Saccharomyces cerevisiae S288C: one gene and its partners. Changing the gene in region 3 together with the main gene of any one other region gives a genetic interaction. Each region holds a gene or a part of one and is shown on either strand. Other genes may lie near its edges.

The links. A genetic interaction does not mean that the proteins touch.
Region 1: mutations in LIH1 (region 3) and AFG2 together harm fitness more than expected from each alone (negative genetic interaction), as found in Saccharomyces cerevisiae (one large-scale study listed by BioGRID).
Region 2: mutations in LIH1 (region 3) and MRD1 together harm fitness more than expected from each alone (negative genetic interaction), as found in Saccharomyces cerevisiae (one large-scale study listed by BioGRID).

What each region holds. Positions count from the first base shown.
Region 1 is NC_001144.5:912,050-916,804, forward strand, and holds AFG2 (AAA family ATPase AFG2), read right to left. Parts: upstream 2,844-4,755; coding exon 501-2,843; downstream 1-500. Other genes in the region: tethering complex ATP-binding subunit VPS33, read right to left, coding at 1-261; SKI complex RNA helicase subunit SKI2, read right to left, coding at 3,107-4,755. UniProt on the Saccharomyces cerevisiae protein: ATP-dependent chaperone which uses the energy provided by ATP hydrolysis to generate mechanical force to disassemble protein complexes.
Region 2 is NC_001148.4:748,756-753,584, reverse strand, and holds MRD1 (RNA-binding ribosome biosynthesis protein MRD1), read left to right. Parts: upstream 1-1,665; coding exon 1,666-4,329; downstream 4,330-4,829. Other genes in the region: ALE2 (Ale2p), read right to left, coding at 1-284; PIS1 (CDP-diacylglycerol--inositol 3-phosphatidyltransferase), read right to left, coding at 666-1,328; serine/threonine-protein kinase DBF20, read right to left, coding at 4,585-4,829. UniProt on the Saccharomyces cerevisiae protein: Involved in pre-rRNA processing. Required for maintaining steady-state levels of 40S ribosomal subunit. Required for the initial processing of pre-rRNA at the A0 to A2 sites, leading to the processing of the 23S pre-rRNA intermediate to the 18S rRNA.
Region 3 is NC_001142.9:625,613-629,038, reverse strand, and holds LIH1 (putative lipase), read right to left. Parts: upstream 1,700-3,426; coding exon 713-1,699; downstream 1-712. Other genes in the region: ABM1 (Abm1p), read right to left, coding at 1-327; YJR107C-A (uncharacterized protein), read left to right, coding at 346-582; ECM27 (Ecm27p), read right to left, coding at 2,024-3,426. UniProt on the Saccharomyces cerevisiae protein: Lipases catalyze the hydrolysis of the ester bond of tri-, di- and monoglycerides of long-chain fatty acids into fatty acids and glycerol.

The sequences.
Region 1 (4,755 bases), on a different chromosome or scaffold from region 3:
AATAAGAAAAATAAGATCCATTTGCGGAACGCTGCCTAAGGCACTCGGTAAATCGTCACTTAGCTGATCATCGAGTAACGTAATTTTCCTTACAGGAGTTGATTGAGTCAAATCTTGGAAAGTTAGCAAACTATTGAGTACTGGCAATACACTTGGTTGAACCACAAGAACTTCATCATTTTGAGATATCTCATTTAAGGTAGCACATAGTCCATCGGCATTTGTTAATGAAAATTTCTTAGTATTCCAAAATCTATTCATCGTGAAATGATTTGATAAAGTTGGAGATGGGCAATATCAGCTTTTTCTTCCTTTCTCGAATTTTCTATCTTTTAACTAATTAACATATAACTAGTTCCAATTTGCTAACCTTTATGATATTTTATTTATGTATGTTCGTGTGAAGTGATTAATATATTATACAAAATGACCGGAGTTCAGTATAATTTCTATCTACTATTATTGAGCACACAAAGGAAAAGAATTGACTATGAACAAGCTTACGAAGATGAACCGCTTCTTAGAGCAAACTCTTCATAATAAGAGAGCATTTCTGGAGTAATGCCCCTAGCAATTCCTTTAAAAGCTTTCTCAAAATGACGTAATTCCACTTTTGCGACATCTAAATCTTCCATTATGGCAGCCAAGCCCGCTTCTTGACAAAGCAGCACAACTTCAGCTCCGGAATAACCTTCTGTACGGTCTGCCAATTCATGAAGATCGACTCCAGACTCTTCTGTATTAAATTTCTTTGTGCACTTCTTTAAGATTTCCAAGCGGGCGTTTACGTCTGGAGGGCCAACGTAAATGTGTCTATCTAACCTACCAGGCCTTAGAAGAGCAGCATCTATTTCATCAGGTCTATTCGTCGCCGCTACAATAACTACACCCTTTAACTCTTCAACACCATCAATCTCATTGAGTAAAGATGTGAGCACGTGATTAGCTGCAGAGGTGGAACTCCCGTCTCTATCAGGAGATAATGCATCGATTTCATCAAAGAAGATAATACTTGGAGCTGCAGAGCGTGCTTTGCGGAAAATTTCTCTTATAGCTCTTTCGGATTCCCCTACATACTTGTTAAAAATTTCAGGCCCTTTCACAGCTAAGAAGTTGATACCCGATTCTGTAGCGAGAGCTTTTGCGGTTAATGTCTTGGAGCAACCTGGCGGCCCGTAAAGTAATACACCTTTTGGTGCAGAAATTCCCAGCCTGGCAAAAGTCTCCGAAGCCTCCAAAGGCAACTGTATCATTTCTTTCATCTTTGTTTTAAGCTCTTCTTGGCCGCCAATGTCAGACCAATAAACTTTTGGCATTTCTAAGAAGATTTCTCTCATTGCGCTGGGTCTGATATCAACCATGGCGCTCTCCACATCTTTCAATGTAACTTTTAGGGAAAACTTGTCAATATTGGCGTCTGTTCCTAGTCCTCGTTGTATCGTCTTCATAACTGATTCTCTGCAGAGAGCAGTTAAATCAGCACCAACATAGCCATGCGTTTTAGAAGCAATGTACTTGATCGCTTCAGAATCTAATACGTGACGATCCGAGGACATTCTTGAGAATTGCTTAGTTAAAATGTCAAATCTGGCATCAACGTCTGGTATACCAATTTCTACTTCTTGGTCAAACCTGCCAGGTCTCCTGAGAGCAGGGTCGACAGAATTAGGCCTGTTTGTAGCAGCAATTACCACCACTTTACCTGCAGCGCCCATGCCATCCATTAGGGTAAGCAATGTAGCCACGACTCTGCTCTCAACTTCACCGGAGTCATCGTTTGCTCTATTTGGTGCTATTGAATCAATTTCGTCAATGAAAATAATGGAAGGCTGGTACTTCCTTGCTTCATTAAAAATATCTCTTAATGCCGCTTCCGTTTCACCAAGATATTTGGAGACGATTGAGGGGCCATTAATGGTTAGGACGTGTGCGTTGGACGTATTTGCTACAACTCTCAAAAGCATAGTTTTACCAGTACCTGGGGGTCCGTGAAGAAGTATACCTCGAGGGGGAGAAACACCAAAGCTACTAAATAGCGTCGGTTGATGAAGAGGTATTTCAATAGCACTTTTCAGTGATTCAATCTCCTTGTCTAAGCCGCCCACTGCTGCATAGGATAAGGGCTCCGGAAGATTGTATTTACGATTTGCCTGGGTTTCTTTCGAAAAAGTTATATGTGTGGAGCCTTTTCTGAATATAAAAGGTGGAGATAGATAAAACAGGTTATCTAATCCACCGTACATATCGTCCATGTTAAGATCTAGTTGGCTGACGTCGGGAAGCGAATCATCGCTCGCATCTGTAATTACGACATCAATGCTTTCATCACCTGCTTTTGTTTTTAAGTTTTGAAAAATCATTCCAGGCATTATAACGCCACTATCATCCAGTAGCTTTTGAATTACTTTTTCCTCCATACATTCCAAAATATTATATCCTTGTAAGGACCCCACGGTAACCTTAGTGGCATAAGGTGGTTGCACCTGGGCTTTCTTTAATTCTAGACGATCACCAAGGATAAGGTTCCCAACAGATCGTATAGTTGTGGAAAGGGTGATAACATTAACAGGATGTACTTCTTCATCACCCGCTCTAGCTATTACTAAAATACCATTTTCGCCTATCTTACCGACAGTACAAAATGATCCCGGATTTATCTCAAGCGAGGATAATACGTTAGGATGAATATATGCTGTGCATGTTTCCTTGCCATGATCTTTAGAAGGATGTGGTCTGGTAATAAATTCAGCAGGCAATTTAAATTTGGATGCTTTTGCATCAGCACTATTAGAACTTGCCGATGATTTCTTTTTGGAACCGGAAGAACTAGATTTAGGAGCCATTTTCCTTTCTATGATTGGGCAATTTTGAGAATGGGCAATGTTGAGAATTCAATTGTATATTGTTCGCATATTAGTTTATGTGATGAGGCAATATAAAATTTTCTTACAATAGTCCGCCCGTTGCTTACATGAAAGAAAAAAAAAATAAAGATGGATCGAAGTGGACTTAAAAACTATGTATACGTGTGTGTGTGTGTGTGCAATAAGAGTTCGAAAACATTAACTTTTATAAACATGACTCACATTGAGAATAAATGAGCTCTCTATAAATACAAACTTGCGGCGAAAACAATATCTCTCTTAATCAACTCTTGAGCCCTGCTCATCTTCATATGTAATGTGGAATTACCAATAATAATAGAGGCAGTCTTAACTTCGCGGCAAATTTCGTCTAGCCAAGTGATAACTCTGACTACAGTACCTTCAGCCTCGGGGCTCATTTCCATGATTTCTTTGAATGATAAACCACGGGCCCACTCATACACCACATTCATCATGGCAAACCTTTTTCTGTCCAAAAACTCAGCTTCATCCTGAGTTAATGGAATCTGATGCGTATTGAAAACACAAAGCATTTTCTTGTAAATTTCCTCAATTCTTTGTTTACCCTTTGCTAGCCTTGGTGTGACAATAGGAGGCTCCTCTTCCCTGGTTTTCCCCTCATAAACAAATACTGATAATAAGGCTACAATCTCTTCAGGTTCAAAGCTTCCTAAAAAGTTGTCTAAAATTAATTCAGTTAAAACTAACTCATAACCAGAATTAATTTCACATGCCACTCTACCTTTTAACAGCACGTTGTGGTTTTGGTCGATAAATTCAGTGTCTTTCAGAACAGCCAATCTCTTTTCATAATCGGGTAGTAAGCTCAGATTTTGGTCAGACATCAAATGGTACAATTCTTCAATTTTCTTTTTAATTACATGCGCCTTAAACTTGGGAACAATGTGTTGGCTTAGGTTGGGACATTTAATGCTTTTTAGTTTGAATATCTCATCCCTTATATTTGTACGGTCTAACAATATTTGGTGAATTTTTAAACCTTGCTTTTCAATGTTAATTGCTTCTTTTAGCGTTTTGCCGTCCAAAATGTTATTTGTTTCAGCGTTAAACTCGTTCAAAGCGGCAACATCCTTTTTAATCACTTTTCCCAAGGGTGCGGCAAACTTGCGTTTAGTGATCACTTCAATAGCCGTCACAGGAACTTCTTCCATATAAAAATCAGTCTTCTGGAATTTAGGGAAGTTCCTTCTTCTGTATCCATCCGCTTTTGGAAAGTATATTAAATGATTTGGCTCACCATTTGGGAGTTTGTATGGTTTTGTGAACGTCATAATGACACAAACAGCATCCTTCAGAGAAACTTTAAATACAAATCCTAATTTCAAGCAATCATTGGGGTCCCTAAAAGCAACGAGTCTGCCCTCTTTCAAGATATGCAATATCGAAGGCGATTTAACCATTTCTTGCATTAGGTTGACTGTTGCCTCCTTATATGCCAGCATCAATTCCAAAAACTTTTCGATATCATTATCACAGATTTCACAACTTTTGTACTCTATGGTTTGTAATTCCTCTTGTAATACTTTGATTTGTTTTTCATGTTCAGGTTGTAAAGTTTCTTTGGCATTCTCACTAAAAGAATACTTGATCATTTCTTCAACTCTCAACGCCTCAATTCTTAAAAGATTTAATATCATATTGTATGTTAATCTAAACTGAGACTGCAACCTCGTCGGAACACCCATCGTTACTTCTTTGAACGTAGCAATAGATAAAGGACTATTATATGCCATCACAATGACTGTACCAGTGGAATCCAAGCCCCTTCTACCAGCTCTACCAGCCATTTGGGTAAACTCACCTGGAGTCAGTTCTCTTAATCCATTACCATCATGTTTACGGATGCTGC
Region 2 (4,829 bases), on a different chromosome or scaffold from region 3:
GAAGTGTACTTCTTTTTGTAATGTTGAGCTTGACGTTCCGAAGTTGTCTTCTCATCTTTCTTGACGTTATGTTTTTGGTCATAGTCCAATTTCCATTTAACCAAATGTGGGAATAAGATCCATTTGCCAAAAAGAAACCAAATATGGTAGAATATAGCAACATAAAAAATTGAGTGCAAGTTGGAGAGAATCGCTTCCGACTTGATTATATTGCGATTTGCCAAGAACGGAATCACCGTGGTCTTAAATAATTCCGGTTGAGGAAGCGACAATAAAACATCCATTTTTTCTTGTAGGCAATGTTCACCTTCGTGCTTGAATTCCTTCCGGGGGGGGGGGCAGAAGCTTGAGATAGAGGAGAGGTCTTCTTCTTTTTCTTTTTGATCTGTCCAACAAACGTTTTTTCTCTCTCCTTGGCTTATGTTAAATATGCCCTCGGGAACTGCTCGAAAAAAACAGGAAAAAAACCGCGTTGAGAAAAAGTACCAACAATATGAAATTTTTCGTTTATTTGAGCATTTGTTGTGCCAAGTATAATCAAGACGATAGAGTAGGCTGCTTTTAAAGTTAAATCAACGAATGTTCCATTTCACATAAATAAAAACTACACATAAATAAAAGATTAGCGCAATTAAAAGGAGAAAAAAAGTAAGAAACTCATCCTATCAGTAAGTCTTGTTCTTCTCGTTGGCATTCTTGGCATCGTTGTCTGCTAAAATCAAGGCTGCCCTTTTTAGCTGGACAACGTTTGCGGTCTGCTTGAACACGTAACCAGGGAAACTTATGATTGTAGTCCATTTACCAAAGGTTGCAGAATTTGAGAACAACTGCAAGTACAATCCAGCATAAAATAGTTCGTTAAACGCACAGATAGTGAACAGTACGTCTCTTCTCGTGTAGTACAGGTGTAACAATCTGGACTCACCCTCGCCCACACTTTTATGAGAAGTCTTACCAGCACTTAAACTGGCATACATATGCATGTAGTGACTAGTAATATCCAAGCCCAGCATTAATTGGAAGAAAACGCACCATTGGGGATACTGCACACAAAGGAAACACATCAAGCCAGCGGTACTGGATCTGTCGGTAACCATGTCCAGAACGGCACCCAGACTGGAAACCTGATTGTACTTTCTTGCCATGGTTCCGTCTAGCGCATCCAGTAGACATGATGTACTATACAACCATGTAAAGGCCGTAGGATGATTCTTCATAACGAAAAAAGAAAGGGCGGCGGTGATAACACGAACATAACCGATCTTATTGGGAATATACCACAGAACGTGTTCTGCAGTAACCTTTTCTGGTGTTGAATTCGAACTCATCTTGTACTATCACACTTTCCCTCTTATTTACATTACTTGAAGGCTCCACAGTGACGGCAAATAAACCATACCACCTCTCATGTTTTTTATGTTTTACTTATATACTAAAAGTGAAAAATCCTCGAGACGGAAAAAACAATAGGAGGGGCTTTCCCTATTGAGAAATAATTTCCGTAATAGGGATTTACGTGCGGAGCGACGTGAATTTTATAAAATGAAAAAATTTTATGGAAATTTAGAGCTCATCTCATCTCATCTCATCGGTACTTCATATGCAAAGACTGCAACCTGAACTGAGATTTAATTTGAGCCTCAAGCACAAGATAACATAACTAACATGTCCCGTATCATTGTCAAGGGTTTGCCCGTCTATCTAACAGATGATAATCTCAGGGAGCATTTTACAAAAAGATTACGTCAAAAACATTCCCATCAAGCAGTTAATGGTAGTGGTCCAGACCTCATAACAGATGTTAAAATTCTTAGAGATAGGAACGGAGAAAGTAGAAGATTTGGATTTATCGGATACCGTAACGAGGAAGACGCTTTTGATGCTGTAGAGTATTTCAATGGCAGTTTTATCAACACTTCTAAGATAGAAGTGTCCATGGCTAAAAGCTTTGCAGACCCAAGAGTCCCGCAGCCCATGAAGGAGAAGAGAAGAGAAGCTCTGAAAAGGTTTAGGGAAAAGGAAGAAAAATTGCTACAAGAAGAAAATCGAAAGAAAAAGAAAGTGGATGAAAATAAGCACAGCAACATTGATGACGAGATTCGCAAGAACAAGCAATTACAAGAGTTCATGGAGACTATGAAGCCAAGCTCACAAGTCACATCATGGGAAAAAGTTGGCATTGACAAGAGCATAGAGGACGAAAAACTAAAACGGGAAGAAGAGGACTCCAGCGTGCAAGGGAATTCTCTATTGGCTCATGCATTAGCCTTAAAGGAAGAGAATAATAAAGACGAAGCACCAAATTTGGTCATTGAGAATGAAAGTGACGATGAATATTCGGCTCTCAACAGAAACAGGGATGAAGATCAAGAAGATGCCGGAGAGGAAGAAAAGATGATAAGTATTAGCAATTTGAAGGATACTGATATAGGTTTAGTTAATGATGACGCTAATAGTGATGAAAAAGAGAATGAAAAGAGGAGAAACCTCGCCCAAGATGAAAAGGTTTCTGACCTAGATTGGTTCAAACAACGCCGTGTAAGAATCAAAGAAAGTGAAGCGGAAACAAGGGAAAAATCATCATCATACGCTACTGAACAAAATGAAAGTCTCGATACCAAGAAGGAAGAACAACCAGAACGTGCTGTGCCGCAAAAGACGGACGAAGAACTGGCTATTGAAAAAATTAACCAAACTGGCCGTTTATTCTTACGTAATATCTTGTATACCTCCAAAGAAGAAGATTTCAGGAAACTATTTAGTCCATTTGGAGAGTTAGAGGAGGTTCATGTGGCTTTGGATACCAGGACTGGTCAATCCAAAGGATTTGCATACGTTCTATTTAAGGATTCTAAGAATGCAGTGAACGCCTATGTTGAATTGGATAAACAGATTTTTCAAGGAAGACTATTGCATATTCTTCCTGGTGAAGAAAAAAAAAGCCATAGATTAGATGAGTTTGATTTAAAGAATATGCCATTGAAAAAGCAAAAGGAATTGAAAAGGAAGGCAGCTGCATCCAGACAAACATTTTCTTGGAACTCCTTGTATATGAACCAAGATGCTGTTTTGGGTAGTGTGGCAGCCAAATTGGGTCTAGAAAAATCTCAATTGATCGATGCTGAAAACTCAAGTTCGGCTGTCAAACAAGCTTTGGCTGAAGCCCATGTTATTGGTGATGTTAGAAAATACTTTGAATCCAAAGGTGTTGATCTGACCAAGTTTTCACAGTTAAAATCTACAAATCAAAGAGACGATAAAGTGATACTGGTTAAAAATTTTCCTTTTGGGACAACTAGAGAAGAGCTTGGCGAAATGTTTTTGCCATATGGTAAATTGGAAAGATTGCTCATGCCACCAGCTGGTACAATAGCTATAGTGCAATTCAGGGACACAACGTCAGCAAGGGCAGCTTTCACTAAACTATCGTATAAAAGATTTAAGGACGGCATAATATATCTAGAAAGGGGGCCTAAGGATTGCTTTACTAAACCAGCTGAGGCCGATGATTTGATAAATAACACTTCTGCAAAAGAAGAAGAAAACCCGGTAGAGGTAAAACCTTCATCAAATGACTTAATGGAAGCAAACAAGGATGTAACTGAAGGGTCATCTAATGCTCATGATGAAGACGTTATTGATGGTCCAACTGTCTCAATTTTCATAAAGAATCTAAACTTCTCCACGACGAACCAAAATCTTACTGATAGGTTCAAGGTTTTCACTGGTTTTGTTGTTGCCCAAGTGAAGACAAAACCTGATCCAAAACATCAAGGCAAGACCTTGTCAATGGGGTTTGGTTTTGTAGAATTCAGGACCAAGGAACAAGCTAATGCCGTGATAGCTGCAATGGATGGGACGGTAATCGACGGCCATAAGATTCAATTGAAGTTATCCCATAGACAAGCATCTCAGAGCGGTAATACAAAGACTAAATCCAATAAGAAAAGCGGTAAAATCATTGTTAAGAATCTTCCATTTGAAGCTACTAGGAAAGACGTTTTCGAATTATTCAATTCTTTTGGTCAATTAAAATCTGTTAGAGTTCCAAAGAAGTTCGACAAGTCTGCAAGAGGTTTTGCGTTCGTGGAATTTTTACTTCCAAAGGAAGCAGAAAATGCTATGGATCAGTTGCACGGTGTCCATTTACTGGGCCGCAGATTGGTAATGCAATATGCAGAAGAAGATGCAGTTGACGCTGAAGAAGAGATAGCCAGGATGACAAAGAAGGTTAGAAAGCAAGTTGCCACTAATGAGATGGCTGCCTTAAGAAATGGGGGCGGTAGAAAGAAACTGGATGTGGATGATGAAGAAAACGAAGGTTTCTAGTTTACCCTATCAGCTTATCGTATTTTTCTTTCATAATTTACATTTTATTTGAATATATAAATCATATTACTACTTTAATAGCATAAAACTCTTCAAAACATCTCATCCCGAAAAAGATTACTAAACTTAAAAATTACATGTTGCCTTGGTTTCATAATTTTGGTAATCATTCAAAATGGAAAATGTTAGCACATCTTGTTGCTGTTGTCAATGTATCTGTTATGCTATACAAAATTAAATTGTAGGGACGTAATCTTAATAAAAAGTTGAAAAAGGGTCTGAATGTTCTGAACCATTGTAAAGTATCCCGCTTGAACCTTGTTTTCCATCTCTATGCCTAAAAGTAAATCCAACAAGCTTGGAATCAACGGCAGAGTCATCGACCATTGCAGATAATTTGTTCTGTCTTTTGAAGACATCTGCATATTTAGCCATATCTTCTTCATTTGTGAAGTCATCGAAATAACCTGCATCCGTTTCATCATCTAATTGAGGAATAA
Region 3 (3,426 bases):
TAACCCATCAAGCCGGTCTGCTACGTTAGTGGCATGAGGCATATCATCTTCGTCTTCATCAATAGAGTTTGAGTTAATCCAAGCGGTTGCATTCTCGAGTGTTGTTAATAATCTAGTGTCAACCAATTTCTCTGTAGTAGCTTCTATGACAGAGATATTAAGTGTGTAATCACTTGTGCCCCAACATGTTGAGTAGTGGATATACGTATTGGATTCGGTAGAATTTAGCCATGCAGCGCTCAAAAAATTCCACGTGAGGAATATTTCCCAAGGGATGAAAATTTTAAAGCTTCCATCTACGGTCAAGATAGAGTACCTCCAAGACATACGTGGAAACTAGTAGACATGTGTGATGATAGCTATGATGCTGTAGAAGAATACTATTTCAACAAAAGCGTAGCCGGGATTAGTGGCCAGGAGAACTGGAATAAGCAGTTAGCTACCCAAGTGTATTCAAGAAGTTTACAACCAGAAATATTACCAACCCTAAAACCTCTTTCATGTAACAAAGAGAGGGCCAATGCAGGAAAAAGAGTTTCAGAAGAAGAGCAGATAAATGGAAAACGTAAGAGAAAAGATTAGAAGTTTTGAAAGAGTTATTTGTAAAAAGAACAATTATTAGTTAAGAATAGTGGTCGCATTTAGTTTAGAGTAACTCTAGAGCGGTATTATATATGCTAGTTATAGACAAAAACGTAAAAGTGGGTGAATGTTAAAGTCCAGAACATCCCACTACGTCAATGAAGTAGGCTCGATGTTCATAGACATGTAACCAGTCTTCAACCAAACCGCTCATACCCTCTCGAAATCCATCCTTTAAAGTTAACCTGTTATTTTTACCACGGTATTCAATATCTTCCGCATTCTGAGGTAGACCAACTTTGTTAATAAACATCTCTAAACCAGCCGGATGATAGAATGGTGGAACCATAGGAATATAATCACCTGTATGCACAACCCTAAAATAGCCCTTACGAAATTGAATTTCATCTTTAAGAATTGACTCCTTTTCTATAGCATCTGTTTCAAATAACTCGTCTACCCATTGTTTCATTTCACTGTTAAATATCTTTGGTGTTGCGAATGTCAGCACTAACGGATCAAAGCCTCTTATCTTTAATTCAATCCCAGCCAAACTTGCTAATGCTGCCCCCAAGGAGTGCCCAGTGACAACGATCCTATATTCCGGAAAGCTTTCCAGAATCGACTCCATTTTTTTAAAGACGTCCATCCCGAGAGTTTCTGTGAACCTTAGAAATCCTCTATGCATTTTACAACCTTCACATTCTCTGATTTTTCCTTCCTCTATAAGCTTACGATATTCCTTAACGCAAAGGGGAGAATAGTTAACAGGATATATTTCAAAATCACTAAACCAATCTTGTCTTGTTGTGGATCCTCTAAATGCTAAAATAACAACCTTTTTTCCGTGGTCAACAGCCAGATAACCCGAGCCTAATTCACCTTTTTTTGCATTAAGAACTAATTCAACCACTGTTTGACCCGCTGTTGGGTTAATTATCTCATCATTGCAGAAGTTAATATGTGGTGGACAACCTCCGTCGTTGAAGGTTTTATTAACAAGAAGTAAGTTGTCAGATATGCAGCTTGATATAGAGCTTGCCTTAATAAAATATACTAGACGCTCATAGATATATGGAGTGATGGGCAGGTTGGACGAACAATGAACAACAGGCATGAGTACTACAAAAAGATATAGTATGAAAAGTCTGGCAGGCATCATTGTTATGGGTTTCTCAATCGAAGTTTTGGATAGTTCCTGGCTACAACTTTTTTTTTGGAGCTCAATCAAAATAATTCATCCAAGGAAACGAAGGTTGAGACAGAAAGAATATATGGCCCATTTTTGTTTGAATAAAAGGGCGATTTGAATGACGGAGTCTAAGTAATCTTGAAATTAAATAGTACTTCTTTTCTTGGTGTTCTGTGTTCTGCGCGGATCTGTTACGGCGCCAGATAAATGTCACAAAAACAAATTTTTCGGGAGGCACTCTTGCAAGCTTTAGCTAAACAGTTCTAGAAGTATATTAATCAACGTGGCTAGTGCCCATAGTCCGCACATAGAGATTCCGACTAACTTCATCTCCTTTGTGAGGCGCCGTTTAATATTGTTAGGCCCTCCGAAGAATAACAGCAAGAGAATAATCTGTAGGATAATGAAGACGCAAGAAACTATGAATTTGTAATTTAATGTATTATCCAATTGACTTGTTTCTTGTAATTTAACCTTTCTTAGGAACCACCATTCGTTATCATTAAAAGCGCCAATAAAAAGCATTGATACTAGCCCACTAAAGCCTATTCCACCCATAGAATTCAGCATTACGCCTCCTAAGCAAGATGCGCATGATATCATAAAAAATTTTGTGGCTAAACGAACTCTGTCTTGGTAGTGAGTTTGGGTTTTGTAGAGCCTGCACATAGATATGTTGGAGATCAAGTCTCCTACTGAGTTGCCCCATGCGAAAATGGTAAGGCCCAAAATAGCTTTCGATAATCCTAATATTTTTTGGTAAATTTCCATCATCTCAATAAGAGAATTGGCTAAAAGTGATATCCAAATTATGATATTTATTATGCCGATAGCTAGAAAAATTATTTGGATGCTTGTGTTAAGCCTTTCGAGGAGTTTTCTTTTTTGTAGCTTTTCCTGTAAAATGTTAGAGCTGTCTAATGACAGAGTAAACTTGTTATGCAGATTTACCTTTGTAATAAAAGCCGTCAATAGTAAAATTAAGGCCATAGCTAATATAAGAGGGAAAAGGTAAACGAGATAGCCTAGATGATATGTCAAAAGCACAGAAAGTATACTGCAAAGGAGGAAGGGTGCAGTAATTGATTGGATAAATAATAAAATTATGGGTAACGTTGTTAAAGAGTATCTGTTCAAAGTGGGATCATAACTCAAAATATCTGAAGGCGGTTGAGGACATGATAGTTTGAAAATAATGAAAAACGGAACAGTTATTATGGAAAAGATCGCATCTGAGATGGATTTCTGGGAAAAATTTGAGAGATGTGGTATGAAAATTTTTATAATCCAGCCCAGAGACCTTTTGGAGAACCTTCGCATTTCTTGCGCACCAAAATGACCATGCGTTGTTGTCTCCAATAATACTTGCTCTTGAGACTCTTCATCATCAGGGTTGTCACGGTAGGGGGCGAACACCGCTGGGGAACTATTTATTGCTCTTTCAGAATCTCTATATTCCGTAAACGCATTCGTTGGCTCACTGAAAGGTCTTCCAGCACTCGTTGCCTCTCCTGCAACTGTTGCAGAGGCGGACCAATGTTGTCCCGGCGTCATGCTACGTAGAGTGTTCAATTCTGCCATTTCATTCCTTGAGTCATCCTCCTCCAAAGATGAGTTTTCAAGCATTGATAAGAAACTATTGAAATCCATAG